Linked DNA regions of Lepisosteus oculatus. The protein of the gene in region 2 purifies or fractionates together with the protein of the main gene of each other region. This does not show direct contact. Links are inferred from orthologs where the notes say so. Each region holds a gene or a part of one and is shown on either strand. Other genes may lie near its edges. The genes, in order: cyfip2, wasf2 and abi2b.

What was found.
Region 1: the proteins of wasf2 (region 2) and cyfip2 purify together in Homo sapiens (co-immunoprecipitation; 3 studies listed by BioGRID and IntAct, with this or other methods). This does not show direct contact. The link is inferred for Lepisosteus oculatus from reciprocal best matches to the Homo sapiens genes WASF2 and CYFIP2.
Region 3: the proteins of wasf2 (region 2) and abi2b purify together in Homo sapiens (affinity purification with mass spectrometry; 3 studies listed by BioGRID and IntAct, counting the BioPlex papers as one, with this or other methods). This does not show direct contact. The link is inferred for Lepisosteus oculatus from reciprocal best matches to the Homo sapiens genes WASF2 and ABI2.

What each region holds. Positions count from the first base shown.
Region 1 is NC_090706.1:30,453,538-30,465,195, reverse strand, and holds the start of cyfip2 (cytoplasmic FMR1-interacting protein 2), read right to left. Parts: upstream 4,825-11,658; 5' UTR 4,735-4,824; intron 178-4,734; exon of another isoform or gene 26-177; intron 1-25. Other genes in the region: itk (tyrosine-protein kinase ITK/TSK), read right to left, coding at 9,762-9,827, 10,232-10,389, 11,305-11,423. UniProt on the Homo sapiens protein: Involved in T-cell adhesion and p53/TP53-dependent induction of apoptosis. Does not bind RNA. As component of the WAVE1 complex, required for BDNF-NTRK2 endocytic trafficking and signaling from early endosomes.
Region 2 is NC_090706.1:8,896,850-8,907,627, reverse strand, and holds the start of wasf2 (actin-binding protein WASF2), read right to left. Parts: upstream 4,950-10,778; 5' UTR 4,790-4,949; intron 1-4,789. Other genes in the region: probable methyltransferase-like protein 24, read right to left, coding at 7,900-8,211, 9,918-10,128. UniProt on the Homo sapiens protein: Downstream effector molecule involved in the transmission of signals from tyrosine kinase receptors and small GTPases to the actin cytoskeleton. Promotes formation of actin filaments. Part of the WAVE complex that regulates lamellipodia formation.
Region 3 is NC_090707.1:35,003,333-35,013,947, reverse strand, and holds the start of abi2b (abl interactor 2), read right to left. Parts: upstream 4,427-10,615; 5' UTR 4,306-4,426; coding exon 4,189-4,305; intron 4,087-4,188; exon of another isoform or gene 3,914-4,086; intron 1-3,913. UniProt on the Homo sapiens protein: Regulator of actin cytoskeleton dynamics underlying cell motility and adhesion. Functions as a component of the WAVE complex, which activates actin nucleating machinery Arp2/3 to drive lamellipodia formation.

The DNA.
Region 1 (11,658 bases), about 22 Mb from region 2:
CAGCAACCTGCACCAAAATCCTTACCCCTCACAGCTTGCTGTATTCAAGATCACAGGAGCCCGAGAACTCTGCTTTGCAGGGACTATGAATGCTCTCAGAAAGACACCGCTTAGCCCGGTGTTTTTCTCTGGAAATGCACATTCAGTAAAGCTTGTGTAAACTTTCCCACACTGCCACACTCACAAAAAGGAGGAACGCGAAACCCTTCCTTTTGGCATTCCATTGGTGCACATTATTCGTGCATGCGAGGTCCGCATGTCAATGAGCAAACGATTTCAGCATGGTGATGAGCCAGCTATTACTGAAACATTAGATCTTTAAAAATCCAAATGCACTTTTAGAAACAACTGTCTCTTAGCCATTACAAATTTGCTGAGTCAACAGAACACGTGAAATTGAACAACACTGGTCATTTACAGATTCATCATAACTTTAAAATATATTGTATTATATAATACTATGTTTTACATATTGTGTAATACTTTATCAAGGATTATAGAGTTTGGAAAGTCTAAATGACTTTTAAAATGAATTAAATGTCAACAATACAAATCTCAAAAACCAGAACAAACTACATTATCTGACATAAAAATAGCTAGCCTACATTCAGCACTTTTACTTATTCTTCTGTCTTTTTCTTGCTTTAAAAACTTCCCCTTTTAATATTCAAACACATTCAACTTGCAGCTGTAAAAGGAACAGCAATGAAGTCAACTCATTCAGATTCCTTACACCCTATTTGTTGAGACGTGTGAAACTTGTCGTCACAGGAGTCGTGAAATAATTGTTACAATTTTGATAAAACTTAACAACTGACTTACTACTACAATCCACCATCACACAGGATAGAAATAGCGCTAAAACAAACCTCAGTGCTATGCCACTGTACTTCTTGGATTTTCAGTAATACACGTCACTGTTGTCAGTTGAGGTACAGTAGGAATGTGAGCCTTTATTCAGAGTGATACAATAGTTATTCTTTTTCTGGTTGGCTGCACAGAAGATACTGAAAAAAACTATTTCCTTTTTGAATATTGATAGAATTATGCTACAGTTATGCACTGCCTCACAGGAAATAAACTGTAGCCTTTTTATCAGCATAACACAATTTTCTCAAGCCCTGAACACATGGACATTTTTAGTACATTACCTCCAAATGGGTATATACTCTATATGTGAAAGGGAGTTAAAGTTCATACCTGAACCTCATCTGACCAGACCTCAGCCACTCAGAGGTACAGCAGCATCTCCAGTGGTGAGTTGAACACACAATGTGTCAGTTACGAGTCCAAAAGCTTACCCTCTGCACTGTGCCACCCCCAACATAAAGCAGTTTCCAGTACATGGTTTGCTCTTCTTAACTTTACTTGCAAACTCTGTAACTGCAAACACTAAAGCACATACATTTGCTCATGCCACAGGCAGTCAAAAAAACATTTCACCAAACGAGTTTAGATAACTGAGCACCTGGCTAAGAGCCTCACAGTATTGCTGAGAATAACATTAATAACACCTGTAACAGCAAAATCTTTGTCATCCTACAACATGGATTGCCCAGTTCAAAAATGTAGATAAATGCAAGGGAACACCCAGTATAAAAGCGCAACAGCCATCTATATCAGCAGCTTGAGAGCTGAACAGATAAAAATGTAGTAATTATATTGATCCTCCTAGGTGTGTATCTACTGAAAACTCAGATGAATGACTAACAAAGACTGCTGAGACTGGAAACACTAACAGAGCTAGAAGACTTAAGCTGGCTCACTGAAGAAAGAAAAGTTTTCATCCACACTTACAGTATAATCCAGTACTTTCACAGAACCAGACAAAACCGTACAAAAGAAGAGAACTCCCGAGTAGCTCAAACAGTAAAGCTTCTTGTTTAAGAGTGTAGATGTTGGTGGTTCAGCGATGGACCATGTGATTACCTAGTGAAGGTAGCCAGCAAAGGTATCAGCGTACAACAGCTTCTAGCTGTCAGGCATCTATACTAAAAAAGAAGTGTGGAAAGCCAATTTAGTCACTGATTGACCTAGTACAGTAAATCCTAACTCCCTCTGTCGATTTAGACTGCCTAGATTTAAGTGCAAATGTTCTTTCATTCTTTCATTTTAGATTTTTCATTCCCACAACTACGAACCTGCTCAATTCACACAAAGCAATGGATTGTTACGTTTTATTTCCATCATGTTTGTATCTTACTGAGGTACGGTATCTATTTCACTCACAGATTGTCCAATGTTTTATGTACCTATTTTGGACAGTGAGGATTGCTTCTATTTTTTAATCTTATGGCGTGTATGTTTTTAATTTGTTAATGGACTCATGTTGTTTTAAAAGTACTATGTATTGTGATTGCCTTTTTTATCTGCCTACAGTGCAAATCTCCCATCTGGGTTTATAAAGTAAGTATCCAGGAGATGTGTTGCTCCTCAAATCCGCACTAACTCCTATAAGACACTATAGTATAGTTTCCCAACAGTGGCAAGACCTGAACTTGGCAAAGGGTTTGAAGAGTTCTCAGTCCTTCCAAAGAAAATTTAGGGGACAGAAATCCCACTTGGCTTAGAAAGCCAACAATCTCTGAGCTAAACGCACTTTAGGTTTAATTGAATGTTGCCCTTAATTTGGTCTGAAATGTCATACTTTGCAGACAACTTTTATCTTGTTTATACTGGACGCTAATAAAGCTTTAATTCTCCCTCAAACACTGAGAACTCACCTTATCTGTTTGTTCTCATGTCAAAAGTAAAGACATGGGCATGTGATACTCACACCTGAAACAAAAGTGCTCTCAACCTTTAGAAACTGCAGATTAACTTGTTGGTTATAAACCCGGCTGGACTGAGGCTCTCCACGCCCAGGGTTAGACATACACACTCTACAGTTTGCGTTCTGTTGCAAATAGAAGCAAAAACCATGATACCTCTAAGTCCTAAGCAGAGGTTTGTCAGATTTCTCTTGTGTGCATGCGAGAACACATTCAAACGAGGAACTGATGTAAGAGGATGGTATCTGTTCCCAGGACTGCTGAATTACCTGGGTCTACAAACAATAACTTGTGATTATGCCAAAATAAAACACATCAGTTGTGTTCTAGAGCTGTCTGTAAATTTGGGGTCCTGCTTATTTAAGTGTTATATCACTGCTGGATAGTCCCGTGCTTTATTGCCAAGTCTCCTTGATAGTTTAACTAGGCAATGATTGTGATGGGAAATAATTTCCCCCTTGGTTCCTGTTCCCCGGTTCCCTGGGATACATTCTTAATGAGACACACATGAACACCACATACAGTACATACAATAGGAAAAGAACAATGGTATGACTTCAGAACCATTGCATCAAGCAGTTCCTGTCAAGCTTTGCACCAAGTTAGCAGGTACAGTAGGAAGTTACAGACTTCGAAGTTGCATTTTGGTAGTTCATACTGTACATACAACAAGGATCTGACTTGTGACCAAAACAGTTCAGGAGAAATGTTCCTGGCCACAAAACAGCAAACTTTCCACACAATGGCAGAAGTAAAACACCATTTAGGAGAAGGTGTAAGTCAATTTGATGCAACAAAGAAAGCTTTTAAAAAGCTTATCTTAAAGCACTTATCATTTTTACAACAGACTATGTAATGCTTTCTATGATATATTATAAGGTGTAATAGAGCCCTACCACTGTCTAACACATTTTTCCTTAACAAGTTTTTTTAAAATTAATTCTATACAAATGTAACTCATCTAAATGTTTGCATCATTTTTTTTAATTTTATAAACAAATTTTTAGCAAAGAGTTTCTGCTGTCATAAAAATGATAAAAAACGTTTTTTTTTTCTTTGAAGTCATTGCGTACCGGATTACCAAGCTCCTGGTTACAACATATTTGGATTTGGTTGTGCAAATGGCTGAATGACAACATAACATTTTCACTCAGTTATACGTTATTTAATGTACGTGCCCAAGGTTTGATATTATGCATTATTCAGGTCTAGACTAGGGATCGTGTAGCTACAGTACTTGAATTACTGAGAACAGGGCGTCACGTAGCGTTTGAGGAGATACAAAGTATTTCTTAATGTTCAGGCAGAGTGACTGCAACAGAAACAAATCAACCAGTTGAAACCAGGTAATAATAGAAAATGAGAGACCATGCTTCATGAATATTATTATTCTTAATTTGCATATTTGCTCTAGTTTTTCGATTGCAGAAAAAAATAACTATACGAGGCCTGGCTATTGCAAGCTGCCTGCATGACACCACAGAGATCCTATCAGAACCGCGACATCCAGCTCTGGGTATTCAGGTGGATTTAAAGAGACACGTCGTGTAAAGCGACACAAAATTAAAAATAAAATAAAGCCCAGGTCCATCACTTCAAAATGTATTGAAAACAATAACAGACACCAAATTTGAGTGAATGCAGGTTTAAACTGTAGATAAGGATCGCGACATGAATATAGAGATGTTATGTATTTTTCATCATTTAGAAAAAAAACCCATAATCTATATTTTTCTGAAAACCCGTCATTCGTGAAAAGTAATGCACACATCCGATATCAAGTAAGACATACAGGAATTACAATACCGAGTAGCACACATAGACACAGTTCACCCCACCCAATTAAAAAATACTCGAATGGTAGCTGAGGCTTATGCATTATCACGTTCGAGAGAAAAATCTTCTAGAATACCTAAAGGATAGTAAGGAAAAAATATTTATACTTATCCATAGATTTAGTCACCTGCAAAAAATGTCCACAATTTTTTCTCATATATTACAATTATCTAAATAGCAAAGCCTGTGGTAGCATACAGCATCATGTAACTGCACTAAACCCATTGGCAGGTCTGTGCCATCTCTCTCATCGCGTTTGAACAATATTGATGATAAAGAATTAAATCTTACCTGATGCTCGCATGACCCTTTTTGGCGATGCTGACGGAACGGTTCGCATTTACGCCTCAGACCTGTGTTTTAAAGTGGTGATGTCTCAGTGATGCTCTTGCCTGGCAGAATGCTCATCCGCTAATCCCCGAAACACAAAGAGCAGAAAATGGCTGCAAATGTGTTTCCTTAAAGCTACATGACAGTCAACACAGCAGCAGTCACATCACTGCTCGGCTCCGAAGCGGTTCGCGTTAGCTATATTTAGTGGATGAATGTGCAGGTTGGAAGAGTATTTTTTTTTCATTTAATGTTCTCAGTCCAGTTGTTGATGCATTTAATCTGCCCTTCCCCTCAACATAGAAAGCTCGCGTTATTTTATAAACTGTAGCTATATACAAATTAATATTAATATTGTAGCCGTATGCGTTACAATATCAATCAGCAAGCCAATTCATGGTAACTGAACCATAACCCAGACTGAAATCTGCATTGAGTTTATTCCAACGGCAGCACTTGAATGATAAAACCATCAAATTGTGCAAATGACACTGATGTGTACATAATTTACAGAAGTTATTCCTCTTTCACTTGGAAGCGGGGTTTCAAACCATACAGTATAATACTGCATGATGGAGACTATTTCGGTTATTACATGGCCAAAAAAAATTAAACCAGTTTTTTTTTTTTTGTATCGAGCATATTCATGTCAGGGTTGTCCTGGAGTGTTGAACAAGAAACGTGCGAAGATAAAAAAAGAATAAAAAGTTCTTAGTTTAAAAGCATAACACGAAAAACAGAACAGTAGAAGATAAAAAACGAAACTTAAAGAGAACAACTGACTTCCATGTCTACTGGTCTTCGAAAACGGGTAAGTACTGTAACTGGTATCTGCAGAATGCAAATACTTGGGTTGAACAAACACAAAAAAGTACTAAACCGAACCTCTTATAAATACTGTAGCTCAACGATACCGTTCTAAGATGAACCCAGATTTGATATATAGAACATAAAGAAACCATGACAAGATCAATGTAATTCTAAGAGTTGAGTTTGTTTTAATTCTCATACTGAATTATGTATAGTAAAACCCTTAATTCAAAGAAACACACAAACCCCAATAATGGGAGTGTGGAACATTTATTGGTACGGCTAGGCTTAAACCTGCTTGAGACATCCACGTGGATAAATGTATGAGACCCGCTATATTATAAACCAGATGTTTTCTACATTGGCAGTGGCACTAGGAGGGATGGATACCAATAGGTGATATTGTGACAAACACTATGAAATAGTGACTTAAAGGCCTATTATACCTTACAGTCAGTGATCAGTGGAAAATGGAGTGTGTCCTGTACCATTGTTATGAACTTCAGATAACATTTATTTTCCTAAATATGGATATACAAGATGTGAAATTAACATTTTCCTTCCCCCATCCTTCCCTTATCTCGTGTGGCTGTCCTTGTGCAGGTGGGTCACAGTTAAATTGTAGTGTCTGAAATATATCAAGTCGGGTAAAAAAATAATTTCTAGACATGCCACAAATCAATCTCAGTATCCGTTAACAAAACACAGAGGAGAGTGGTGGTACACTGAGACACAAGTGTCTGTTGTGTTTATAGAAACCAGAAACTTTAAAGTGATTTCTCTCATAATCACTCCTTTTTGGCATATCAACCGTAACCATGGACAATATAACAATACAACACTATAAACAGAGGGTATAACAGAAGATATAAGCAATTTTTGAAAGCTGTCTCACTGAGCCTCACCCTTTTTGGTGCCCCGCCTAATGTAATGATACGTCAGGCAGGACACAGTGAGACATACTGTACCACCTCTGGGACATTAAAGCATCAGACATTTACAGGGAAATGTGAAGCAATGCTCAGATAAGAATAAAACTTTTCATACATGAACATGTATTTTGTCTCTGACCAAATCATGGTAAGTAGATTAGATATCTTGTTATTTAGGTCCACAGTTGTAAAAGAACAATTGTACTACACTAAGTTGATTTTATCGAAAGAATGGCGGTACTGCAATACTGATTAACTTGCGAAATCTTTAATATGTGATAATATGCAAGATGCTTTGGATAAAAATGTTATATACTGGAGCTGCAATTTATTCTTAGAACAATTATTGAAGTAGATCATCCTTGGTTATAGATTTAAGAGAATTATAATGTATTGATTTCAGGCACAATTATTTTAGTGGTTAATAATAGTGAGCATCCTTTGAATTGCATATAACAAAAACTAGCACAGGGTACAAACCTATACAACATGTGTGTCTCACTCTGCTCCTCTGAACTGTATCAACTATGACAAGCCCACCCACTGGGCCTATTATTTTTAAGTGAGGGAGAAAATAAGGTGAAAACATTTAGCTTTTTTAGAGGTAACTCTTAAGACACTTTAGGGTTTCCCTTTCTCACAAACCTTTGTTCTCTTTTGAACAGGACAGTGGAAAAAATATTAGGAATACAAAACTGCCTTATAAATCATGCCTCTTACCTAATTGCTTCCTTTAGTTCCAAAACAAGAAGTTTGGAAGGGCCACTGCAGTTCTACTCTCTAAATGTAAAGACTGGAATATTTTTTAGTGTTTGCGTTTCTCCAGATCTCATTGTGCCCCATCTTCCATTGCACACAATGATTTACTGTTACTTATCTTATGGTGTTAACAGTTTAAAAAGAAACATTACCCATTATTACTGTTACAGTTGTGTTTTTTTAGTAACTGGACTTCACAGCAACTTCTGACACAAACACAAGGAGAAAAATGTAATACATTCCATTTTTTAATTGTTTACTTACAAAATCAAGGTACTTATAGACCAATAAGTAAAGATAACTACTAAAATGTAAAATATTAAAGTGTGTGTTATACTGTATTATCGTGTTCAAATAAGCTGCATGACTGGGTTGATATAGAAAAAATATTTCTTATTCTTTTTACAGATAAGGAGACAATTGAATGTTATACAGAAAGTAGTGCTTTCAGATAAATTAGAAGGAGCATTCAATACATGAAGAAGGTAATATACGGATTAAAAAAATAGGATTTTAAAATTGCACATAGCAACGAATGCAACTAAGCCATTGTTTCCTCCTTAATGGAATTAAAGTAATAAAAACAAAAACCTTTGAATACATTAACAAAGCTAACCTTTTTACACTCTTGGAATAGTTGTGAGAGCTAAAGAATCTCGCACAGACTGAACAATCACATTCACAAGAAAATCAATTACTGCCAATAGATGTCACTCTTTCATATGAACAGACAAATGCTCGCAACGCTAATGGTTAGCACAACAGGCAATTCAGATTTCCCCCCTCTGTTCCTCCTGCCTCCCAAAGGCCTGTTTAACTGGTGCTCTACATGGTCCTTCTGTGAGTCCCGATGGACTGGACTCCCATCTAGAGTGTAGTTCTGCCTTGTACGCTGTCTGTCTGTGTTAGGCTGCAGGTTACCGCAACCTTTACCTATACCAGAAATATGCAGATTTCTGATAGTATCTAAAAATAACTAAAAAAATAATGTAATAAAAATAATGGATGATCAATAGAGTGAGTGTAAGAGTGTCAGTGTGAGATTATCTGTCATCACAGCAGTGTGCCGTTGTAAAGGTTTGAGGGTCTATCAGTGTGTAAGCATCTGTACAAGTGTTAGTGTGACATTATCTGTCAGTGTACCACTTTGTAGCCTGATTAGAAGCTAGGCAATGATGGGACTGACCAACACAGGAATGGAAAATCCCCAGTCCTGCACCTCACACACCAGATAAATCCTTAACTGAACCAGTGACTGTCCTGGTTGTTACCGTTGTAACTATGTTTTCTGGACTGAAAGGTTTGATACCTTAAGTTCCATTTGAAACACAATCATTAAAAGGCAACCTCCTACATGTTTAACAATTCAAAACAACTAAAGAAGTCACATTTATACACCTATAATTTGGTCTGTTAAGGGGTTCAACTGATTGCTCAGCTGGAGCACTCAAATCAGCAGATGTGTGGATCTCCGGGACCAAGGCTGGGAGCTCCTACTCTGAGCAAAACGAACCTGCAGCTGTTGTAGGCTGTGGACCAGCAGGCCAGAGTAACCATCTGACTGAGAATTTAAACCTGGCTCTTAGCTTTATAGTTGTTAAAGCTGCACTGTTTGTAAGAGTAGGTGTTTATGGAAATCATAATTAACTATAGGAAAAATGTAATTAAAATACAAGATGTCAGGATTAAAATATTTCTCAGAACTGAATTTGTACAAGCAAGTAACAAAGATGTAAGGAAGGTTATAAACAATAGGGAGACATTCAGCCCATTTGATACCAAAAGTAGTTAATTATCAAACTACCAATTGTTAATTAGTAGTTAATTGATTGGGGATGTCATCCAGCCATTCCTTGAATGAAACCAGGATATTGGCCTAAACAACATGACTGGATAGCTTGTCATGATAGCCATAAAAAGTCCCATGGTCGATTCTGAAAAAGATTACTGTTAAATTATATTGTAAAGAACACAAATGCAGGATGGTATTTATTAAGCAACCATGTGACAATTTCTGTCAAGGAACAGGTAAAGGTTTAATCCATGCTGAAAAGAGAAGAAAAGAATCAACGTTTCGGCTGTGGACCTTCTTCAAATGAATCTTTACTTGTTCCTTTGCAGCCTACGCATGCTGACGCAGCTCCCCACCTGAACCATTTTTGTTAAGGCCTTGTCTAAGAGCCTTGTAGCTTTTCTGCTTTTGTATGCTACTGCAATGTAAATTTTGGTATCTGAAAAAGCAATAAATACAGTATAAATATATATATATTCTTTTCTTTATACAGTTTATGTCCATTTCATCTGGGCTTCCAACAGCTTAATTTCAGAAATCAGCAATTTCTGCCAGCTGATGGAAGAGAATTGCAAAAGATGGGCGGTCTTCTGGTTTCTAAGGAGAGAATTAAACAAAAACATGAAAAAAAAATGTTTAAAAAGTTTGCATCAGGAGAACTTCTTCTATCCCAACAATAACAGTATAGGTAAAATGAAAAACTCTTTGTTGTGTTGTGAATCTTTTCTTTTTTCACAGCTTAGTCTCTGCACCACAAAATTGCTGATTTTATTTGCTCGAAAAAGAAAACTATCCAGCTTTGTTGCGTCAGTTGCCATAACTAGTGGTGTGAAAGTAACTCTCCCTTGATTCATGTGCGCTCTAAGCCTTGATGCAGAGGTTTGAAATTAAAACAAACATATGAAAACGTATTATTAAAGCAGAATTTAGGTATACTGTATAAGCATATGTGTGTTAGATTTGATTTTCAGTTCATTTACTTGGCTCCTTGTTGCACTGACCTCTTTCCAGCTCCACTCCATCAGCTGATAAATGTCCTCTGAAGCGAGTCTGGGTTTAAGAAGTCGGAGGCCAGATGAAATTGAAGCTACTACCTCTCCGTTTGACTGGTTCTCGTATGGCATCTTGCCCTCACTGTACACCTCCCACATGAGGACCCCTGCAGCAACGCAAAGCCGACGAGACCCTTTAATTCTTTACATTCTTACTGACTTTACAAAAAGACGGACAAGCGCATCATACAGTACATTTCTGCACGCCAGAGAGCTTCAAGCCTTAGCCTTCATTGTGAGTTTGAAGTCATTTGCTGTGGCAACATTAACAGCCTCACTAATAACAGAGGTGAAGAAAGAGTATATATCTGAGTTTATATACATCTTGAAAACTTACAGTTAGTTAAGGCTTTTCTCAACTTCCGTGTGAAGCCCACACTGAGACACATGTCGTATTTTCAGGAACCATCATTTCTGCCTGACTTTCTACGCAATGAAACCCTCTCTTCACATGTGGCGTTAAGTCTAATGCATTCTGATATTGATTGCATACTCTCTTACTTTATCTTCCCAGGGCTTACTGCTGTCAGCAGCCACATTCTGACATACTTTTGTATTTTATTGACATATCACAAATAAGAGGAGGCTATCTGACCTACTGTATCAACCTCATGTGACTGTGTTTACCAGTAACCTCATATCCAGTAACGTACTGTACTGCGAGGAAACTGCTGAATTCCCCTTCGAATCCTTGCCTAAACTAGATAAATGTGACTAAGTAGCTAATCAAACCTAATACATTTGTCACCGGGAGCAGGGAAGAAACCGGAGCACCCAGAAAAATCCCCCCCAATCACAGGAAGAGCAGAATATAGGCGCCTTAAATTGAAATTGAACCCAGGACCCTAAAACTGTGAGACAGGAAACACTCCACACCATACCACTTTTCACTTCATAGCATTATTTTATTCATTAGAACAAACTCATCCAGTGGCTGTCCTGTGTATGTCAGGTGGTGCTATACAATGCTATACCAGGTCACCACATGAAGAATAACTATCTCACTCCGCTTCATTACTTACCAAAGGACCACACGTCTGATTTGCTGCTGAATTTGCAGTATTGGATTACCTCAGGGGCTGACCACTTCACTGGAAACTTAGAGCCATAGGAACTGGTGTACTGGTCATCCAGGACAAACCTAGGAGAAAAAAAAATCTTAAGCTATACACTGCAAAGATTCCATTTCAGAAATACTTTAACACCATATGTCACATACTAGTGCTGAAAAAAACGGGAACCTCAATCAGTCATTGTACAAAAGCATTTCATTGTACTGCAATTTTCTTTAGGTATACAGAACAAACAATTAAGATTTTAACTTACATAAACATATCAGGGCAGTGCAAAACCTTCAACCTTTTGCATTATTCAAT
Region 2 (10,778 bases):
ACAATTTATCATTAAGAAAATAAGCAATTTATAATACTCAGACAAACAATTTAAGGATCTAAACTGGTAGGAAATGTTGTTGTACAGTAGATCACTCAATCTCGACATTGAACTATCACTAAAAATTAACTCAGTTACACAGAATAAACTGTGCATTTATGTAAAGCATCCAAACGGCTACAGCCCTCACCTTCCAAGGTGATGGTACAGAAACAGCATGACTGCATGACTGCAGCTTCATGTCAGCTCAGCGGTACATCAGTGTGCACAGCTCTACACGGCTTAGGTGTGAACAAGCTGTTAGCCTTGCTTGTCTTTGGAGCCTTGTTTACCGAGACAGCCTAAGTGACATGGAGGCCATTTTAATGGCCTGATTAATCTGTACAGCACATAAAGGAATTCTCTTTCTGAAGCTTACAGGTTTCAATTCTTTGTCCTTCTCAGCTACATATCTTATTTTCATTCTAACAGTAATTTCCATTTAGTTCCAAGACTGGACAATCCTGACTACTACATCCTGGTATATAAGAATATCAACTCACAAATCCTTCCTCGTAAATACACTTCAGCTCCTCCTAAACTAAAACCATTCCAAAGACTCATTATGTGTAGCTCTGTAAAAGATGTTTATTATTCTGGTGAATACTTAAATATATTCTGTTACTTTTGTAATAAATGTCTTGCTCACAAGGAAATGGAAAAATGAGAAAATATCTCCATCATGTGGAAACATACATCAGGCCTGCACTATAATTATCTGTGAAGTGCGCCTAACTGATTTGCCCAACAGGCGCCTCGTCAGGAGGCACTCGTGCTGTGGGCTGGTCATCAGGTGGGCGTGTGACGGAGTGAGTCAAATAGGGACGCGTTCACCAGTTCCCCACACGTTGCAGACTCTGTCACACTGAGTCACTCTGATTCTGCTCACACTTGTGAAGGCAGCTGTTCAACCCTAGCGCCGCCATAACTCCTTCTGCAGCCTTTCTGCCAGCACTGCAGCTCCAGCTGCCCCAGGCCAGCAAATGGTAAAAAAAACAAGCAACTGGAACGTCTAAAAAAAAAAAAAGGATTTTTAAAGGCACGGGCCTCGCATTTTACTCCAGTGCTGCATGCACATACTGTACACTCTTTTACAGAGAGAGGCAATGGCTCTTTGAAACTACCATCTGAATGAATACATTTCTTATTAAACACATTATAATAATTTAATCAATGGTGCATTTTCAAAGTTGAACACTACTTCACCCTTTCACGTTACAACAGAGTTCAAATAAGGGGTGACAATACTCATGTAAACCGCTCTAAAGATACAGGGTATGCTACGCATTTCAATGTGCTGCATATGTCTTTGTATATACAGTATCAGTGTCCAACTTAATGACTTCAGGTGCAATTTTGTATTTGGTAACAAAAGTGGGATAAAACTAGAGCCTTTCCTGCCTTAAACCCCTCTTGTAGCTTGCAAAGACAAGATGATATTTATATCTAACGGAAAACAAATGTATGCACATTCTCACTTTAAAACCATAGAAACTAGCGTCAGTACAATTAATATTTTAAGCTGATATTATTATTGAGGGTGGCAGTAAGCACAGCTGCTTCATGGCTCTTGGGTCCTGGCTAGACTGGGATGTCATTATTGTGACGTTTGCATGCTCACCCTGTGACCACATGGGTTAGTCTTAGGTAGAAACCAGAGCACCCAATCTTCCAAAGACATACTGTATTAGTGAGGTTAACTGGGATCTCCGAATTGTACCCTTGTGCTTGGACATGGACGCGTGTGCCTTGTGATGGACTGGATTCCTGCCTTTGGTATGGTCCTGCCTTTTGACCTATTCGTTCAAGACTGGCTCCAGGTTATCACAGGACCCTCAACAGGAATAAGAGGCTTCTAATACTGGTGGATGAATATTATAAAGATTTCCTCATCTGGAATCTGCCTATGCTGAGGCCTGTAGACTGTATATAAAACTGGAAAATGAAAACAATGTGGGAGATCAGCCATGTACACATGCTGCCATTTCCAAAATGAAATCAGAGAAGAACCAGCTGCTAAACATTTGCCATCCTAGCTGGGACCCTAAAATTGAAACTTCCTAAACACAAACTAGGAAAGACAGAAATATGTGACATCAGGTGGGGTACCACATTAACATATTGATTCATGCTATCAGGTACCATCTACCGGCAAATGAAAGAGCTCGTCTCAGGCATTTGCCTGGCTGGCTTGAGGAGATTAAGACAGACTTTGTTCACCTTCTCACAGTCTTGCTGAAAACCGGTGGAGCCTGTGAAAAGGTGCAGTTCAGCCCCACACTTCAAGACAAGGCAATCCTGCTGGAAGAATGGGAAAGGACTGGGCTGCAAGAATTTCAAAACCTGGTGGAATACAAGTCACATCCTGCTCAAGCTGGTCTAGTGGCTCCCCGAGGTCGATCAGATTAGTCACTGGTGTTTCTATCACTAGGGCCGGCAAATATTTACCTATCTTTACTAAAACCCACTAACACCACAGCAGACCTTAACTTGTAATTATCCAAATTATTATAAAGCTGCATAGATGAGCATAGGATGGCTGCCTACAGCTGCCACTTGCATTTCACAGCCAATCTATTCTAATACACATACCCATTTTCAGGACAGAAATTCAAAGAATCGACATTTCATGCACATAAAAAAAGATTAACCATTTAGCAACAAATTTTAAAAATAGAAAAGTTAGTTCTATAATAAACTATAAACCATGTTACTACAGTTTTATTCAGAGGTAACATCCTATAGGAGTACCCCACAATGGGCTCTGTGCACAATAACCTCTTTTCAAGAAAATGTTGGCATATCTAAACACAAAATGAATGGGAGGTGTCAATTTTATTATAATGCCAATATTGTCCTACTAGCTATTTTCTGATTGCTGCATGCAATTCAGGGTCACGAGGGGAGAGCGAGTGCCTATCCCAACAAGCAGCGGACACAAGGCAGGGCGCACTCTGAACGGGACATCAGTCCATCCCGGGGAACACACAGCCCCAAACAGACATGCACACACTCCTACCAGAGCCACTGTTCCCAGGAGCCAGGTGACCAAACACCATGTCTCTGGACTGTGTGAGGATACCCACACCAAGACACGGAGGACCTACAAACTCACACGGACAGCACCCCAGGGCCCGAACCCAGGGCCCCATGGCAATACTGGCCACAGCAGCAACAGGCTGCCCAGGGCCGGTATTCATTATATAAAAATAAATAGATCTGCAGATCCACAGATATATGTTGACGGTGGACAAACACTGTACTGTGCTGAAGAGTTTTGATTTTTAGGCACTGCTTGGATTGAAAAGTTCCTTCGATTTCTGGGGATCCTCTGCAGGGTTGCTCAGAGTTTCAGCGTTCCTGCTAGGGGGTCCCAGAAATATTTGGTTGAAAGAACCCCCCTGTGAGAAATCCAGTATGTGTTTACAGGAGTCCACATTTAGCAAGTAAATATCACACTTGCATTGACTAATTGCACCAACAATTGGTTTATTATCGTGACAGCTGGGAAGGAGTGACAACCACAGGATGCTTCAGCATTACAGGGATGGGACTGGAGACCTCTGCAGTAGTAAAAGCAGTAAGACATCACATCTATAATTACTTGTCAAAAACACTTCAGAATTTGTATTAGTTATTATTGCAGCTTTCCCTGCTTGGGTTCTGGATAGTTTAGTCTTAAAAGCATTTAATCCTTTTTCACAGCAAGTCAAAACAACTCATCCGCTTACTTAAATAGCACATGGTATTGTCAGGCTAGCTTTTCGGTCTTCTTTTCGATTATTGTGTTTCTAATCACTATTAAACCCTGGCCCGGAGTGTACAAGAACAATGATTATCCTCACTCTCAGAAAACCCACATGAATTACGAGTTTTACGCCAATGTCTATTGAAATTGTTCATAAACCTTCCCCTTTCGAGTAATCAACCATTAGTCTCCAGTACTGTAGTAGGCTTTGTAATCTTCAACGGAGCAAAACACAAATTGTGTTTACCAGGCAGTACTTATCAATTTCTAATTTGGTCGTTATAACGGACTATTTTCTGTGTTGGGATTTATCTTCGTCAGGTAAAGGGGGATGTATCCAAAAATTTCAAAGCGAATAAAAAAAATACAAATAAAATTATTATTCCTAATGACAATATAGTGCATAGGTAACGGATAAATCACCTGTACCTCGCACTACAGTGGGCTTCGTAGGTATCCACTAAAGTGAAGTCTACTTATTAAACACTTCCAGGATAGTTATCAAGGCCTATCACGGTTTCCTTTTTTGAACCATTGCCTCATTCAAAGTTCAGACACCGTTTCTTTCAGAAAAGTTTTCTTTTACGTTTCACATATCGTAAAGAACATTCAACTCAATCAGTAAAACGAATCGCTGCAAGTAAATCGCATTTTTATAAGGCAGTTCGATGCCGCAGTGAGCTGCGAAAATTAAATGTGTGGTTTTATCGTCAGTGATACTTCATACGATCTACGTAATCCCGGATTTTAACAACTTTATTTTCTTTCCACATCACTGAATTGTCTTTCTTCGTCCCGCGGATCACTAAAAACACTTTTTCGAAGGGTTTCTTGTCAACTTCATGGCTCCCAATTTAGCAGGAAGTAAAGTGAAACCACCCATAATTAAACTCAAGCAACTACAGTAGACTACCGACACAATGTTGCAGACACGAAGCAACATTGTCTTTTTACTCATAACTCCCCCATACCAGAAAGTATTTAAAAACGTAGCACTCATACCGTAAAGGAAAAGAGGGTCCGAGAAAACGATCCTTTCTGCTCTCACATAAGGCTTTTACCAGCCATCATCTCAACTCGCTTGAAGTTTTCCTAAAAAGAAAATGTCTAGATTTGATAGCTGCTTCAACTGTAAAACCGATTAAGCAGAACTACGCCAAGGCCCCGCCTACGCATACTTGTGATTGGACCGCGGCGAGGATACTGGGAATTGATTCGCTCTCACTCACGTCAGTTTCAGTTCAAGGAGGACCATGAAAACTTGGACGTAAAATGCGTAACTCCACCCGAGAGAGGAGTAAACATCTGTAGGGTTTTACCGGCTTCGATCGAAGAGGATTCGGGGGAAGATAATGATGGACTGAAGCGTCCATGTAATTTAGCTTTTTGGGGGTCAGTTCACGAAGACGTGCGTTAATAGCATTGAATGGGAGGAGATCGTTGCCCTGTATCGCGTTTTCTCTGAGTTCTGTATTTCTGAGGAGGCGTTGTGCATTCCTCAGCCCGGTCTGACGCAATGAACGACTTCTGAGGGAGTGCCCGTCGGGGACACGGAAACCTACAGTATATGCCTGCGTAGTGTGTTATAATGATGTCACGTAATATTTGCATCACTGTAATCAAATGCAAACGTGACTTAATCGGTCTTGGCTGATAGACCGTCTTTTAAAATCAGCATTACTTGTCTCCGTGCTCTTTTGCAGCTGTTCACGAACAACAGCGATTTACTGACTGGCTATCCTGCCCAATATTATAACGTTTTTAAAAATGTTAAGAAGAATCTTTAATTCAGCTTTTTGTTTAATAATTGTACCCATCAATCACGTGATGACGTGTTTAATTTGGGAGGGCCTTATTGTGTGTTCTTGAAAAGAGGTTTTCGTGCACATAGTCCATTACATGGTACTGCTGTATAATATGAGGAATAAACCTGATGTTTCATGGTCCAAGAATTAGTAAACAAAAAATCCTACTTACATTAATAACAAAAAAATAAACTGTTACAGAACAGTTTGTCTACTGTGTCAAGAATGCATGAAACAAGAACTCGGATGTTATACAATGTCATTTTATCAATCCCTAATTCAATCACAGAACAATATTGTTTTAAAAGATAAAGGTCATTCCACTCTGGACTTCAGATTATTTTATGTGAATCAGTTCTTCTCTAAATTGCTCCGCATTCTCACTGTTTCCAGGACTTGAGTCATTGATGATTTTGCGTTACCTGTAATTACCTGGGTGACTGCAGCCCCCTGGGCGCAGGAGTGAGTGTCACTGGTCGAAAGGCTTGAAGACAATGTAACGCTTTTGCAGACAAGTTTGTATCAATCCTATGTTTCTAGTTTAGCTTGGGATTTGTGTCTTCCTACAGTACTGTACGTCTCACACTGTGCTTGCTTCTCTGTGCTGCAACGCGTAAGGGTTGTGTGTTTGTGTGCTCCCTGCTCGCAGGCTAGGGTGTTCCCTCCTCGTTGTCGTGTTTCCTTTATGAGTGTTTATTCCTCCTCAGAGGCTTCAGCGATCATGGACATTTTTATTCCCTCGCGGTCCTTCCCCGAGGAAGACTCCCACGTCCACGTCGACTTCGGCGAACATGAGGAACCTCAGAAAAACTAAAGCGACAGCAGACTGAACCCTGAACGGACATCTTGCTAAGACTTTATAATCATGTTTTTTTTTTATTTCCCAAGTAATATACAAAAAAACTTACACAAAAGGTGCCAAAGACAGAAAAGAACAACAACAACAAAAAAACAACAACAACGCACAAAGTTTTAAAAAATTAGAGCTTTTTTTTCCCGACGGCAAGCGATGTCTTCCATTAAGCAGGGGATTCCTGTCCGAGTTTACAGTACCAGAAAACAAGTCCCATTTCCTTTTTAATCTATTACCAGTAGAGGGCATCTAGATTACACATCTCCAATTACATTACTTAAGCAACAAAGCTTTACATTGTCTAAATATCACAATATTAAGGTTTAGGATACACTGGTCGGAAGTGAGAACAACCTGGAAGCAGAACAAATTCTTAGTGTCCACGTTGTCAACTTTCTATTGCCTTTAGCGCCTTCACTCGTCATGAGTGCTTGTCACCAAATGTAAATATGAAAATTAAAACAGCTTGAATGGGATATAGCCATATTTCTCCATAGTACCCTTTTACAATATTTCCAGTAGTTTTATTAAAACATGACACAGGAGACTGTATCCTTCGATTTACTTCACAGTTCCTAATTTGAAACAGTTTCACTTCCGGTCTTAAACACTTAAAACTTTGAATCAGGGGTCACCAGCTTGTGCAAAACATATAAGTATATACCCTTGTATGTTCCTTTATTCTCACAGTGCAATACCAGATTTTGGTACAATGACAAAATAGATAAGCAGTAGGTAGTCACTAAATGTTTAGATTGTTTTCTATTCTGCAGTATAGAACTGTGATATGGTTGTGATAAAGCAATGAAAATGCCTGTGTGCAAATATTTGTAGCGTTTTTATAGACTGTATGTAAATTGTTTTAAAAACCATTTGAAATAATGTGTAAAAATAAAGTATTGATTTTGATTGTTCTTTTAGTTGTTGTAGCATTTCTTATTTAAATACTTTAATTGTTTATTTTGTGGTTCTTTCTTTGCCATTATGTAAAAGTGGCTGTTGATCATATGCTAATTAATCACGAATCAAAATTAAGGTTCACTGATCCACTCAGCACTGACTCCAGTCAGTGTTGCCTCTTCACCATTCTGGAGAGACAATGTGCATTTTGACGGAGGTGCAGCCCTTGATCTACATGTTAAATCACATGTCCCAAAATCTATCCAAAGCACATAGAGGCCTATGGCAGGGGTTCCCAGTCCTGGTCCCAGTGGCCCAACACCAGGCAAGCTCTTGCAATCATGCAATCAAACCTTTATTTGACTTCCTAATAGGATTAATTCAAAGTTTCTGGCTGTTTTTCAGCCCCTAAACATGCATTTTGCATTTCTCAAGTATAACTTTAAATTAAACCAAAAAGCCTGTGAGTAAGAACTTGTTTGAAGGAAAACTCCAAAGACACTGTTCCTGCCAGACCAGGATTAGGAAGCACTGCGCTGGAGAACAACGTGTGCTTAATAGCTCCACCTCGTGTTGACCCAGCTCAGCATGTAGCTGCTGCTGGCATTGGGCAGCGCATGGTGCAGTATGGCCTGGCCAGGCCCCCTGGCACTGTGCAGCAGGCGATACCCGCTTGTGTGCAGCTCCTTCATCAGGCTGTACCAGAACCGCACAACCTCTGCGTCGCTGCCCCCCACCTCAAACCCGGCCCACTGTAAGTGCACTGTCAGAACCAGCTGCTGGATCTGCGTGAGGGTGCCATCCAGAACCCAGCTCTCCACAATCCTCCACTCGGCGCTCTCCAGGTCCGCTTGGACAATCTCCACCTGATCCGAAAAGAGAGAGAGAGCGTAGGAATGTGATGCAAGAGATGGAAAGAGCACACATGTGGATAGGAAATAAACATGTGAAAAATAGGATGAACATATATATTTTCGGACAGCAATGACAAAGTGGTTGACCTTCCACTTAGTCTCCAGGTATACACAACAAGTTGCTGAAGAAGACTGCACTACAACAGCACCCTCTAGGAGACACAGTGTCTCTCTGCTGCAATGCCAGAATTCTGTCTTTGCACCAGCCTGGGCTTTCTTTACAAATGCAGAGTCTCTGTTCGCCCCAGGGAGCAGGATGTGAAGACCATAACCTCCCTGAGCCCTAAAATCCCACACAAAACATTCATGCTGGGATATTCTTACAGAGAGAGTGCTCTGCTTGCGGCCTTGCGCAGAGCAGGTGGGAGACTTTTGAACATCAGGAAGGGCGAAAGGAGCTGATGAATTTCTGTGCTGATACACAGCACACTTATCGGGCATATTCTTTTTGACCTGTGTTGCGTAGATGAAGCACGACACATAAAAGCTGCTGACATGAACTGAACCAGTTTTCTACAGACACACGGAGAAACTTTCACGGGCTGGCGCGTAATATCCTGTCCACTTATGAATGCCTTGCAAAAGCAACATTCAGACATAACAAACTGTAAATACTATAAAGGAACAAGTAATAGGTTTATTCCATGCTGAAAAGAGAAGAAAGAAAACACAACGTTTCAGTCGTGTCACCTGAAGAAGGCTCCACGGCCGAAACGTTGTTTTCTTTCTTCTCTTTTTAGCATGGAATAAACCTATTCCTTGTTCCTTTGCAGCCTACGCGTGCTGACACAACTACCCACCTGAACTACTGTAAATACTATATGTACAGTTGCACAACTGCAGTATTGATGTCCATCACTTGAAACAATCTGAACAGCTAATTCACTTGTTTTTTAAGTAAGTGATAGAGTGCTACTGGGAAGCCTCTGCTTGGATGTTGGATACCACTACAGGTCTTCCGTGGTCTGAGCCAAAAGCATGGGTGCTAACAGAAGCTCAGTTCATCTGCCACAAGGTGGAGCTCTTTGAGAGACGCACATTTACTGTGAATTTGTCTTTTTTTTTCTGGTAAGGTTCCACTAATTAAAATGTTTTGGGTTTTTTTTTATGACTGTATAATACACACGTATTCATTTGCATATGTTAAGATGTTTCCTTATTATAATTCATCTGGACATTTACCAGACGTAAGTGTACAATTAGTTCCGGTAGGCAGCTGCGTCAGCATGTGTAGCCTGCAAAGGAACAAGTAAAAGTTTAATCCATGCTGAAAAGAGAAGAAAAGAAACTTTCTTCTCTTTTCAGCTTGGAATAAACCTTTGTTTGTTCCCTTGTAACTGTACAATTACTGGCGGTTGACTGGGAAGCTTTTGGAGGCTGGAATCAATAAACCACGATTAATTCTGAGGGTTGTCTGGATCCCACACAAGTTATAATTGTGGACCCATCATGCCCTCCTTCTATAGAGTAGAATGTTAAAGGGCTAAAGCTGGTATATGTATGAAATGGTGTAAAATGTCATTCACATTTAAGCTGTTCAATGTTCCATCAGGTGTCTATGCCAAAATCTGACCACCCAAATTGAAAACTGATTGGCTGAAGACACTTCATTGATTTGTTCATAGGGTTTTCTCTTTTCCCTGAAAAGGCTTTAATACCATTCTGTGGCCCAGCATCTGCATGATGGCACTGAGTTTCCTGGGTGTGGCCTTTCTGTGCCCCGTCCTGGGATTGCGCCAGTCTAACCACATCTGGTGGTGCTGTACTCGTTCCTGGGTCTGTCGGGACTTTCTGCCTGGATCAAACTGATGGACCTCACAGCCCAGTGATGCCATGCTGGACACAAACTCCTCATCCTTCTGGTCCATGCTGGGAGGGAGAGAACACAGTCACTGAACTGTTGCTCCAAACAATCTACTTAATATAGGAGAAGGGGGGATCTACACCAGTTTGCACTAGAGGGCTGAAGCCACAAGAAAACATCAACTTGGTATAACACCAATCCATTAACACAGTGCTAGCTCTGACTTGTTAAAAGCAATAGCCAACATTTAAATACACCAAAGTGCTGATTCTTACAAACACCAAAAAAGCATTTTAGTTTTAGCACGGCAGGTAGCAGTAATGTTAAGGCACCTGGCTCCACCTCACTAATATCTTTAAGCCTGCACTCGGTCAGTATGTGGAGAATATACCAGATGATGCCTTGTTGTCTATTTATCTATTTATCATCTATCAGCTATCATCTATTAAGCTAGCATCAGCCGTGCTGCTGACAGCCAGTTGCCAAAACATGATTAAGCAAAGCAGTCCCAGCATAATTGATGTTTATGGGTGAGAATCTTCAGCCCTGTTCAGACTATCCTGTACTTGGCAATTGTACTTCTGACAAAATTAAAGATTCTGCTATTCAATGAAATGTGTGTGCTTCTGGTCCCAGAGGAGCATCACCTCTGAGAAGCAGTATAAGACAGCAGTATGAAAACTGAATATACTTAATTATAATTATTGGCTTTTAG
Region 3 (10,615 bases), on a different chromosome or scaffold from region 2:
CAGGAGAAGCTGCACTGTCCCTACAGATATTCAGTCAGCACTACTGTAGCTGCACTTATTACAACTGCTGTGCCGCTTAGTGGTGTGCAAAGCCGATTGACTGACTGAGGGGGAAGAGGGGAGAGCAGACAGAGCTGACACCTGTGCACAACGGAGCTGAGAGTCTGCGTGCTTAACCCAGGGCTTTAATCTGGATCCTGTATTGTTTAGGACGTCTCGCCAAATGCAAAGCTCAGCGCTCTCTGGGCTGAAGTTAATGAGAACCGGAATTTTCTCGTTTAAAAAAAAAAGACAGCGCCAACTAAAGCAAAATTGGATTTCACACAGGTGTCTCTCTTTGAAATAATTCTTTGCACAAAACCAACAGCTAGAGATTGTGATCTTCAAGACCAGGGTACATGTGTGAGGTACGCGGAATATTAAACAGAACCGTGTGTGCCTCTTAATGCAAATCAAAACATGACTACCGATAGGTCCCGTCTCCAAATTTAAGTAAGCCCTATGCTGACGGTAAGAGATGACTCTAAGCTTTGGCTAATTTATCAGTGTTAGACAAATACTAAAAAACATACATCCTATACTCCTCTATCAGTACTACAACCTCCCTCAAAAAATCTCAGAGACCATGTTACATTTGTTTCAGTGTTCTTGCCAAGAAACACCATGTGTGGTGAGATGTCTTTTCAATGAACAAAAGAGAATTATTTTCACCCCCAATATTCAGCTGTATTTCTCTTGATAGGTAATAAACCCTTAACTTGAAAGTGTGGATATTGGAAAGTATTAACCAGTTATGGACATCTTAAGGCAAGGTAAGAAGTCTGCACGCTCTACAAAAAAATAACTGCCAAAGCTGATGAAGCTGAATACGGGGTTGTGATTTCCATTATTTGCCACATATAGATTATAGATATTTAACTACCTTTAAACCCAGGAAATAGGAATTTCAGCCAGAAAGGACTGTAAGTGGACCCTACGTTAGGGTATTAATGCAGCACCAACTGTCCTAAGTCTGGCATTTCTTCAATTCATGAAACAGAGAAGTGTTGATGCAGATCCTGAAAAACAAAGCCACTGTAACACTGAATTTAAGAACCCAGAGAAAGGCAAATGTTTAATGAAGCTATCTATTAATTACTGATATTTACACACCACACACCAAGATGCCACACGCAAAATGCCTCCAGATGAAAACCAAGGCTTTCTCACAAGCAATGTCAGCAGCTCCTCTTTTCAGCAGTCCTTAAAATGAATTTCGAGTCGGTATTTTCTTTGTAATTGTTTTCAGAGTTATACTCAATTTGAAAATGACGGCCCTGTCTCGGGGAAAAAAGGGTCACCTCCGAGCTCCATGTTCCTACACGGCAGACTCCTGACTCATGAACATTCATGTGCACAGCCTGTGTCATGTCCAACCTTCCCAGCAATTTCCCCACAGAGACTAAAGAAACTGAAACAGACAGATGTTCCATCCTACGAAGCTTACCTCACAAGGAAAATTATATACATGCCACATCTACAATCTGTATATAAATACCATAATGGGATGCTTTGTGTCTACATATTTTTGTCTTTTGCCCAACATTACACAAACCCCCGCTACAATGCTGAGAAAAGAAACACATCCTCCCTTTATTACAAAACACAAATCGCTGTAAATTATGGCACACGGGACCAACTGTTTTAAGATCACATTCTCTCACGAGCGCTTAATTCAACGTTGCCCACGACAGACCCTTCAGCACTTCTGACTCCGGTGCAAATCGGGAATCAACCTTCGGAATAGCTTCCACATTCCTTGATAACACAAGTCCCTTGAGGAGAAAGGGACAAAAAAAAGTTCAAATGGGCTATTTTCAGGATGGCAGAGAAGGAGGTTCAAGACACAGGAGATTAAGCTGTGGACATTGCTTTGTACCCTTGCATCCAGATAAAGCACTCAGCCATGGGTAAAGGCAGCTATGAGTTTTGAACCAGTCCCTCTTTGGTTTCAGGGAAAAATGACAATTTTGAGGGTCCTGTCTCCAGCAACAAAATCACAAACGAAACGCAAGAACTAAAGCGAAATCATGGGGGCTTTGTGGCAAACTGCCTTTTAAAATTTCCCGTCTACCCAAACAATGATGTTAAAGCGTCCATTTACCTTAATTAACCACACACATTACTGGAGTGGTATTTTAACGTTAAAGTTAAGTAACATAGGGGAGAAAGTCATATTGCTGTTTAGAAACTGGGGCTGATAAAAAGGAGTAAAATTGTGGATTATTATCAAATTAACTTTAAATTGTGTTCATTAGAGCCAAGACTCGCCTATAACCATGTAAATACAGACACAGAACCCAAAGTGTTCAATATCAAGATAATGAAACCGCGTCCCTCGTCGAATAACCATTACAATTCACATTTATGTGTAAAAACTGAAAAGCGTATAACCCCTTCATGCATTTATGCACAATCTGAAATCCTTCCTGTTGGAAATTAACCCTTGAAAGAAAACGAGAAAAATCTAGCACGCGCGATTGTGCATGCACAATCAAATACGATACTTGATATTTTTAATAGACGTATTTTGTATATCAACCGATACGTGTGGGTTTTCTGACACGCCGTTGCGTCACAACCCATATTCCCGGGGGAAAACAAATTATTGATACTGCTCAGTCACCTTAAAAACCAATCACAGCCGGGACCCGATTAATATGCTTAGCTCACCAGCAATCACATTAAAATGTTCTTCAAAAAGACATCAGATTAGCTTTTCTAAAATCCGACGAATTTGTGTAATGCTGTCGAGCAAGACCCCGAGGGCATTTTGTGTCAGAGAGGTCAACCCCTTAATTCGACAGAAATAAAAAACAATGTAACATAAATACAGTTGGCATAAATACTTGATTCGGGCTGAGAACGTTTTATTCTAGTGCGTTCAGGTCACCGAAAAGTGAACCCTCGGTTGATTTATATTTATAGTTTTCAATTAGCGACCATCGCGGCAAACACCAGGAGGCAAGAGGTATTTGATTATGTAGCAGCTGACCTCATCGATGGCAATTTTTTTAAAGATGCTGCTGCTGCTGCTACTACTACTACAGTAAATTTTTAAAAAATACATCTACCGCAACTCGAAACAGCTCGCAAGCGTCGCCGACATCACAATATCGCAACTTCAAAGGCACAGATGATCAACTCCGGAGCAAAATAAACGTCTAAAATCCCCATTTGTTTCTCATCACCCGCAAGTGGGGGGTCAAAAATGGTCTGGCTAGTCACAGATTTCGGCTTCAATGTATTAATCACCGGACTGTAATCATGATCAGATGCACTGGGTTGTTTTAAACTCTCCGTTCCACCAAAACGGACGCGATATCTCTTTGCAAAATGCAGCGAAACCAAGTTATTTCTTTTCTGTGCTGCGTGCGTTTGAAATGCAAGGCTGGGGCTGCCACTCTTTAAACCTATAGTATGATCTTCTACATCCTGCATGCTGGCAGTTTATTCCAAGACACCCTCCTAGAAAATAACACACCACCGCATCAAGCAAGCCATGATTGACAGATGACAAACCTGTTTATTAAATAACACCGTGCCGCCATGCACACATAACTCGGCAGAAAAAAAAAATGTTCCAGTAGCTATGCACTTTTTGATCTTTATTGATTTCAATTTGAACTTTAAAAAAACTATTTAAAGAGACATTTTTACAGGTTTACGCTGATACTGACGCTCCCTGTATATCCCTGCATCTGGCATATGCTTCCTAATAGGGGAGTTTTTTTTCCTCCAAAATCTATACGAATCTAGATATTTAACGTTCTGATTTATATCAGTTTTTACTTTATCGTGTTACAACTTACTGAATCATTCCCAGTCCGTTTCAAATGTTCAACCCCCACCGTACGCATCCATACACACTTACCACACGTCTTCACCACAAGCACTACATTCCTCAAACTACACCCGCATTCCTGGAAACTGAACATATGTCAATGCAAACACACCGAATGGGTCCAAAAACCTCTGCAGCAAAGGAAAGAGCTGTAATCTGGACTTGAGCAAAACATCGCAAAGGGGAGCACAACATGAGAGCATCAGCAATATCCCTCCTCTCGTTTTCCACAGCCTTTTCCAACCCGAGACAGGTCGCTCGCCTCTCAACGCCAGCCCGTTTACCGAAAACCCACTCCAACTTACCTGTATGTAGTTGTTTTCGCAGTAATCTGCGACTCTTTCGAGGTTGGTGTAACTATCGAGCAAAGCTCTCCGTCCTGCCGGAATTTCTTCTTCCAAAAGCATCTGTAGCTCCGCCATCTTTACATCTTTAACACACTGAAGCGCTGGCAACACAGGAAGCAGGGAGGCATACAACTTCCTCTCCTCCGATGTGGGAAAGGTGTAGTTACTCAACTGGAGAAGGTTTTTTGGGAGGGAGCGAGGAGAACGATGTCAGGAAGTTTGACACTTAAGTGTGTGCTGTCACCTGTTAAATGACGTGAAATATAAATAGGTTTGCATCCACAGAGGTTTTAAGACGCTAATAAAAAGTGGTGTTTTTGCTACCCATCCTAATAGAGACACACAAATCACAATCACCGTTGTACTCAATGATTTTGTGTCATTTATCTTCACATTTCTTAGAGGTTTATAACTGTTTGGAGGAAACTGGAACGAAACATATTATCATACCCCGTTCCAGCGTTATATTCGCAGAAGCTTTTGAATAACTTTGCATTTGTTCATTGCAATTCAAAGCCTTGGCTGTTGAAAGATGGCAACAGTTGTACGTACATCATTTTTATCATTCATTTATGGTTTTAACTGAGAATGTGTGGCCCTGCAGTAGCATACTGTAGATGCACATTGAAGCCTAATCTGGCTTTATCAGCTAGTCCAATCTTTTGTGGGATGTTGTAAAAAAAATTGCCTGTTGTAGACCCAGTTATCAATAACTGTTCCTAGTATTGTATCTTCCCCTTCTTCATTAGAAATAACTTACAAAACTAAAGAGAACGAGAAGCCATGATTACCGGCAGCCTAAGGCAATATGAATAAGGGGTCATAGTATTTGGAGGTCAAAATGTGGACCTTATCCTTTAAATTCTGGTTTCATTGATGAAGATGCGTTTTGGTAGTTTTAAGAGATGAATGTTTCTTTCCCATCTTTCATTCAGCCACTTGTGCAAGAGATAGCACAGTATGTTGTATGCTGTCATTACTGTGCACCAATTAATCTTTAATGTCATAGGGGTTATCTAGAGCAACATGAGTCACACCTTGAGTCAATGCCTTTTCCAAATAAGCATGTCCTGGCATGTTTAACACAGGATTTAAGCACTCACACACCTCAGAACAATTTATTGTGTTGAAGCTGGCTGAGAAAATGAAAGGTGTGTGTTGCTTGGAGAGGCTTGACTCCTTTCGTTACACTATCAGCCTTTTTGTTGATGCAAATCAAAGGTTAAGGTGAAAATAGAATAGTGCTAGAAAAGCTGATACATTTCTCCTAGTTTAGTTGCTTTATTAAAACTAATTGGTGATACATTGATGGAAACGTTTACTAAGATGATACAGGTAGGTCTATGAATGGTGGTGGTCGAGGGGAGTCCCCATTACCTGTAAAGCGCTTTGAGTGGAGTGTCCAGAAAAGCGCTATATAAGTGTAAGCAATTATTATTATTATTATATGAGCACGGTTGAGTATTTTGATAATCATTGCCTAATAATGCTGGAGGACCAGTAGAGGGAGCTGCTTCTTTTGTTGACATCCATTCGTACTTTCCTCACAGTTTTAAGCCCTTCATGCTACATTCTTTCTGTGGCTTTACTTACACTATAAACTATAATATCAGAATTTAAAACCGAATAAACTGTATAAGAAAATCTGTATACCCGGCAATTTTTGGTTTAAGCACAGTGAAAAAAGTACAGAGGTACTATTTCGATTTACACGTAGCATCACAGAAACAGCCGTTGTGGAAAATCAGAAATATGATCTTCTGCAAACAATTAAAAAAAATAATCCGTTTTTTTTTTCAGGTATGAACTGTTGCTGGAAAATTGTGGAGTTTCATCTGTTGTCTTTGGATTGCAAAAAAATAGAAATGCTCAAACTGTTCTTCAGGTAATTTGGCAGAATTAGTTTACAGTCAAGTCTTCATTGCTGAGAACCAAATGCCATATTCCCTTTTGCTGACTGCTAAATACAGTTTTAGACAAATCAAATTTGAGGCCATTTCAGTTGTGTCCAGATTCATGTCTAACAAACATTCTCCGACTCTGCTGTTTTCTTAGGAAAATGTCTCAGAACTTTTCTGCCTTACTATTATGGAGAATAAGCTTGCATTCGACTTCAAGGTTGGTTTGAAGAAGCTTAAAGTTTAGCTTAAAATGACTTATTTCTGTTTTACTTTTCTCAATTTTATTTAAAGTAATACAGGACACCAGCTCACTCTTCTGATTATGTAGACAGGCAGGTTTTCGTGTGGCATCTAATCAGATTCCGCATCTCATCTGTAGCATTCCTCCTGTCTGCAAAAAAAATGTAGTTTCGAATAAGACAAAAGAACATAAAAAGGGAGTAAATATAAGCTAAAGTCATGGAGGGAGTGTGCAACTGAATTGCTTTTTTGGTTTTCACTTTAAAAACCTGGACAAGGAAAACTGCATTTTTGCAGCCCAGAGCTAAAGAGACACTTTTCCTCTGCAAATAAAAAAGGTCTTATTTTAATCAGACAAAGGGACATTTAGCCTATGTCTCTTTAGGTACAAGAACTGCTGTATGGTCATCAAAATATAAAAATAAGGGACTCTCAGGCCTCTCTTCTAAAAATGTATTCTTTCCAATTGGCTTATGGCCTATAAATTGATGAGACAGTGTTAAATTAGTTAATTCTTTAATAATTAGCAAGCTGCTTTTAACTACCTTGCTCCAGTCAGTTTCCAATGAACCTACCAAGAACACATTTCGGAATCACTGACTCTGTCTCAGCAACTTAACATGGTTAATAAACCTGGCCTTCGCATCTGAAAAATAAAGGATTGCTGTGAACTCACACTTACATTTGCTCGTTCCATACTCCAACAGCCCTTTGTGCAAAGAACAGCCTCTTTTTGTCAGTTTTCAATGCACTCCCACAGAGTTTTAACTTGTGCTGGGTCCTCCGATTTATGTTTCACAAGTCCAGTGGGTTGAGTTTGTCACTTCTTTTGAGGATTGTGAAAACTGGGACCAGGATCAGGCACATTATTCTCTGTTCAAACATTCAAACAAAAAACTCATTGCTTTAGCCAGTGCCAAGTCTGTTAATCCACCTGGATGCTCTTCTCTGGACATTCCAGAAAATAAATGTTAAATCGTGCTTTATTCCTTTCACTACAACATAAACAACTAACATAAAAGACACAACATGCATTTGTCAGGAAAAGTGAATTTTGTTAACACTTGGCCCTAAGCTGACTCTTAGTAGAATATAAAGAAACTCAGACATGTAATCACTTTTTTATACTGTATATGGTCACATTTGTCATTGTTTACACTCTCTTATTAAAATGACTATTGGTTTTAGTTAAATATTATTTGAAGGCATGAATGTCTCATTTAACATTAAATTAATATGCAGTGCTGTATGGATTAAATTTTAATTAAGTGGCATTTACTGCTTCATTTTACACTGGTGGTTTTTCCTGGGGCAATGGGTAGCTCCAGGAGTAGCTACAGGGACAGCTTGTCTGTATCGAAGGATCCTGGGTTAACTCACAGAAACAAAAGACTTCCTCCCCAAGCCCATCTGTTTGTAAAATGAGCATTCTCTCAGCTACAGTGATATTTGGACCTAAAGTTCTGCTTTAAAGTTAATTTTAATTATTCAACATTGCATTTTTGTTTGCATTTTAATTAGAGATTAATTAATACTGGCATTAGGGTCTGCTACAACACTTACCAGACAATGCTGTCTCTTTGGACCAGAGTGATGCATAGACATAGAGACAGTGTGCACCACTGTTCCTAGGCTGATCCCAAACAGCTGTGCACACTGGCTGAATGCCTCTTTGGTTGGATGTCCTTGGTTTGATGCACAAATGGAGAAGCTTAGGGTCTCCCAGTGTCATGTGAGCATTCACACGTGTGAGTTTTCACAGCACACAAATGGCAAATAGTTCTTTCCTGTACACCTTCCTGAGGCAACCATGAGACTTCTTGTGGTACTACAGAAGTACAGGGGTATTAATAAATGAGATGTAAATGGGGTGTCCCAGTGTAAAATGAGTGAATACTTAACAAGCAATGTCTGGTTATCTGAGTTAAACCACGTTTATCAGTCTAAACTAATAATAATATTAGTAGTAAAATAATTATAACATAATTATAAACTAATCATATGGTAGTAGTGGAGACCTCATGTGTCAAACTCTCCCATTAGCAACAGCATTTTATTTCTGTTTTAGTGTTTTTCTTAGCTTTCACAAATGCATCAAACTATCACCTAAAGCACACACATGAAGATGCAGTTTTATTTTTTCCAGTGACACCATCTTTTTTTCTGCTCCATTAATTCTCTACAATCAGAATGTAGTGTTCCAGCACCCTAACGGATACTGCCAAGAGGTACATTTCATTTCATCGCACAGTTGTTTGTTGAGAGAGAACTGCTTTGATGTTGCTGAGTTCATAGATAAGGTAAGGAGAGGTATACACAGTCAGTAGATTTTCACGGCTCTGTGCCTGGGGGACAATTCTACACATATACTGTATCATCTCTTTTTCTCAATTAGCTACTGCATCTGTCCATTTGACACACTAATTCAAAATTTACCAAGCTTCTCAGTATCCATTTTATTGGAGAGATCTGAAAAAAAAATGTTTTGCGGATTTAATTTGCCTGAAAAAGTAATAGAAAAATCAAACATCTGAGGGTAACCAAGAAAGAATTATTGGCAGAACACTTACTAAGAGAATATGGTAACTATGTGCTAATTATCCTTGAAGACTATGGGGAATTTGTTGCTGGACCATGAAATGACTGGAAAACAATCTTCATGTGTCACATAGTTAAATATTTCATTCATATTGATAAAAAGGCTGAAAGCTTGTCACTTCAAGTTTACCTGGGAAGCGCTTGGTAGTGTTGGTGGAGTAAACAGATGCCGTTTCCCTGCTGACACATTGTTAGTCATTGCTATGTGGTCTGTAATGAATAAAAAATGTGACAAGCAAATGGAATGACAAAGCACCATTTCAATGTGATGGCATTAACCCTCATTTGGAGCACAGAGGAGGATGAAGCCCACCACATAGTAGGAATCATTTCCTTATTTTTACCATTTCTGAGTCATTCTCACATGTAAGTTGGTTTGGGCTGCTGTAACAGTTATATGTTTTTATTGTGTGTACGGACAGGACATTTTTATTTTATAAACACAGCACAAGCCACAATGGTCGACCTTTTAAAAAAGATTTCCTTCTCCAACTGGAAGCAAATTCACAACTTATTTATCAGCATTCGCTGACATTCGGTGCTTATTGTTCCATCCATTTCACACCGGAAGAAGGGAGTTATCATACATCATTCCAAAAAAAGGAGGTGACACTCACTCTCTGTGCCTCTAGAATGGAGATCGAATCAGTTGTTCATTTAACTGTTGTACAGTTTCCCTTGCAGCACTTAAGCGAAGTGAAGTAGATTTCTTTCATTTGTGAAACATGTATGAAAACCAAACTTGAGCTCTTTCACAATGTTCCCAGAAAATGTTTCTATAAATGTGTGCAGAAACATGCATCAGGAAGTATTTACTACAGTATATTGCACTTTTAAAGACACTGCAATAAACATGGCAGTTGGCAATGATATCTTGAAAAATTTCATGCCATTTTCAAAAGATCTTTGCTCAGTGGCTTGAAGGCAACATTCTTTAAGGTAAGGCAGTACAGCATCTTTTCTGCTATTTAACTGAAAAGCCACAAAACAGTGCAAACATCTTCAAGTCAAACAAAGCTGATTACACCTTGCCTAATACTATAATACAGAACTAACAAGACTGTTTCTCAGTTTACACTTCATAGACTTCTGCTAGAGCATGTTCTACAACCTTTACATACTGTATTTACGTGCATGAAGAACTAGAACATAAATGAATATATAATTTTAATTGAAGACGTTCAAGCAGGTAGTATGTGTAGGCTGCAAAGGAACAGGTAAAGATTTATTCCATGCTGCAAAGAAAAGAGACATGAGGTTTTGGCTGGGGAACCTTCTTCAGGTGTCACATTTGTTTCTTGGAAAATTGTCAAAATGTTACTCTGGAAGTCAAAGGAAAAGGTGTTACATTTCAGACTAAATCCTATAGGAGTGATATTATAATGACAGGATCTGTGGAGGAATAGGAGGTGATTAGAAAGTCTGGTCTTGGAACAGATCGCTGTGAAGAGACAGAAAGCTGGTTTAGTGAGAGAAGGGGGCAAGGAGCCCAGGGAGGAGGAGGAGAAGGAATGATGAAGAGATCTAGGAAAAATCTAGTGAGCTGAAAGATAGGTCACATAACTCGGGAACGTAGCAATGCCTTTCAAACCCCACAGGGTAAGGCTGCCACAACAGACTCAAAAGGAAAGAGTTATTTTACTGAA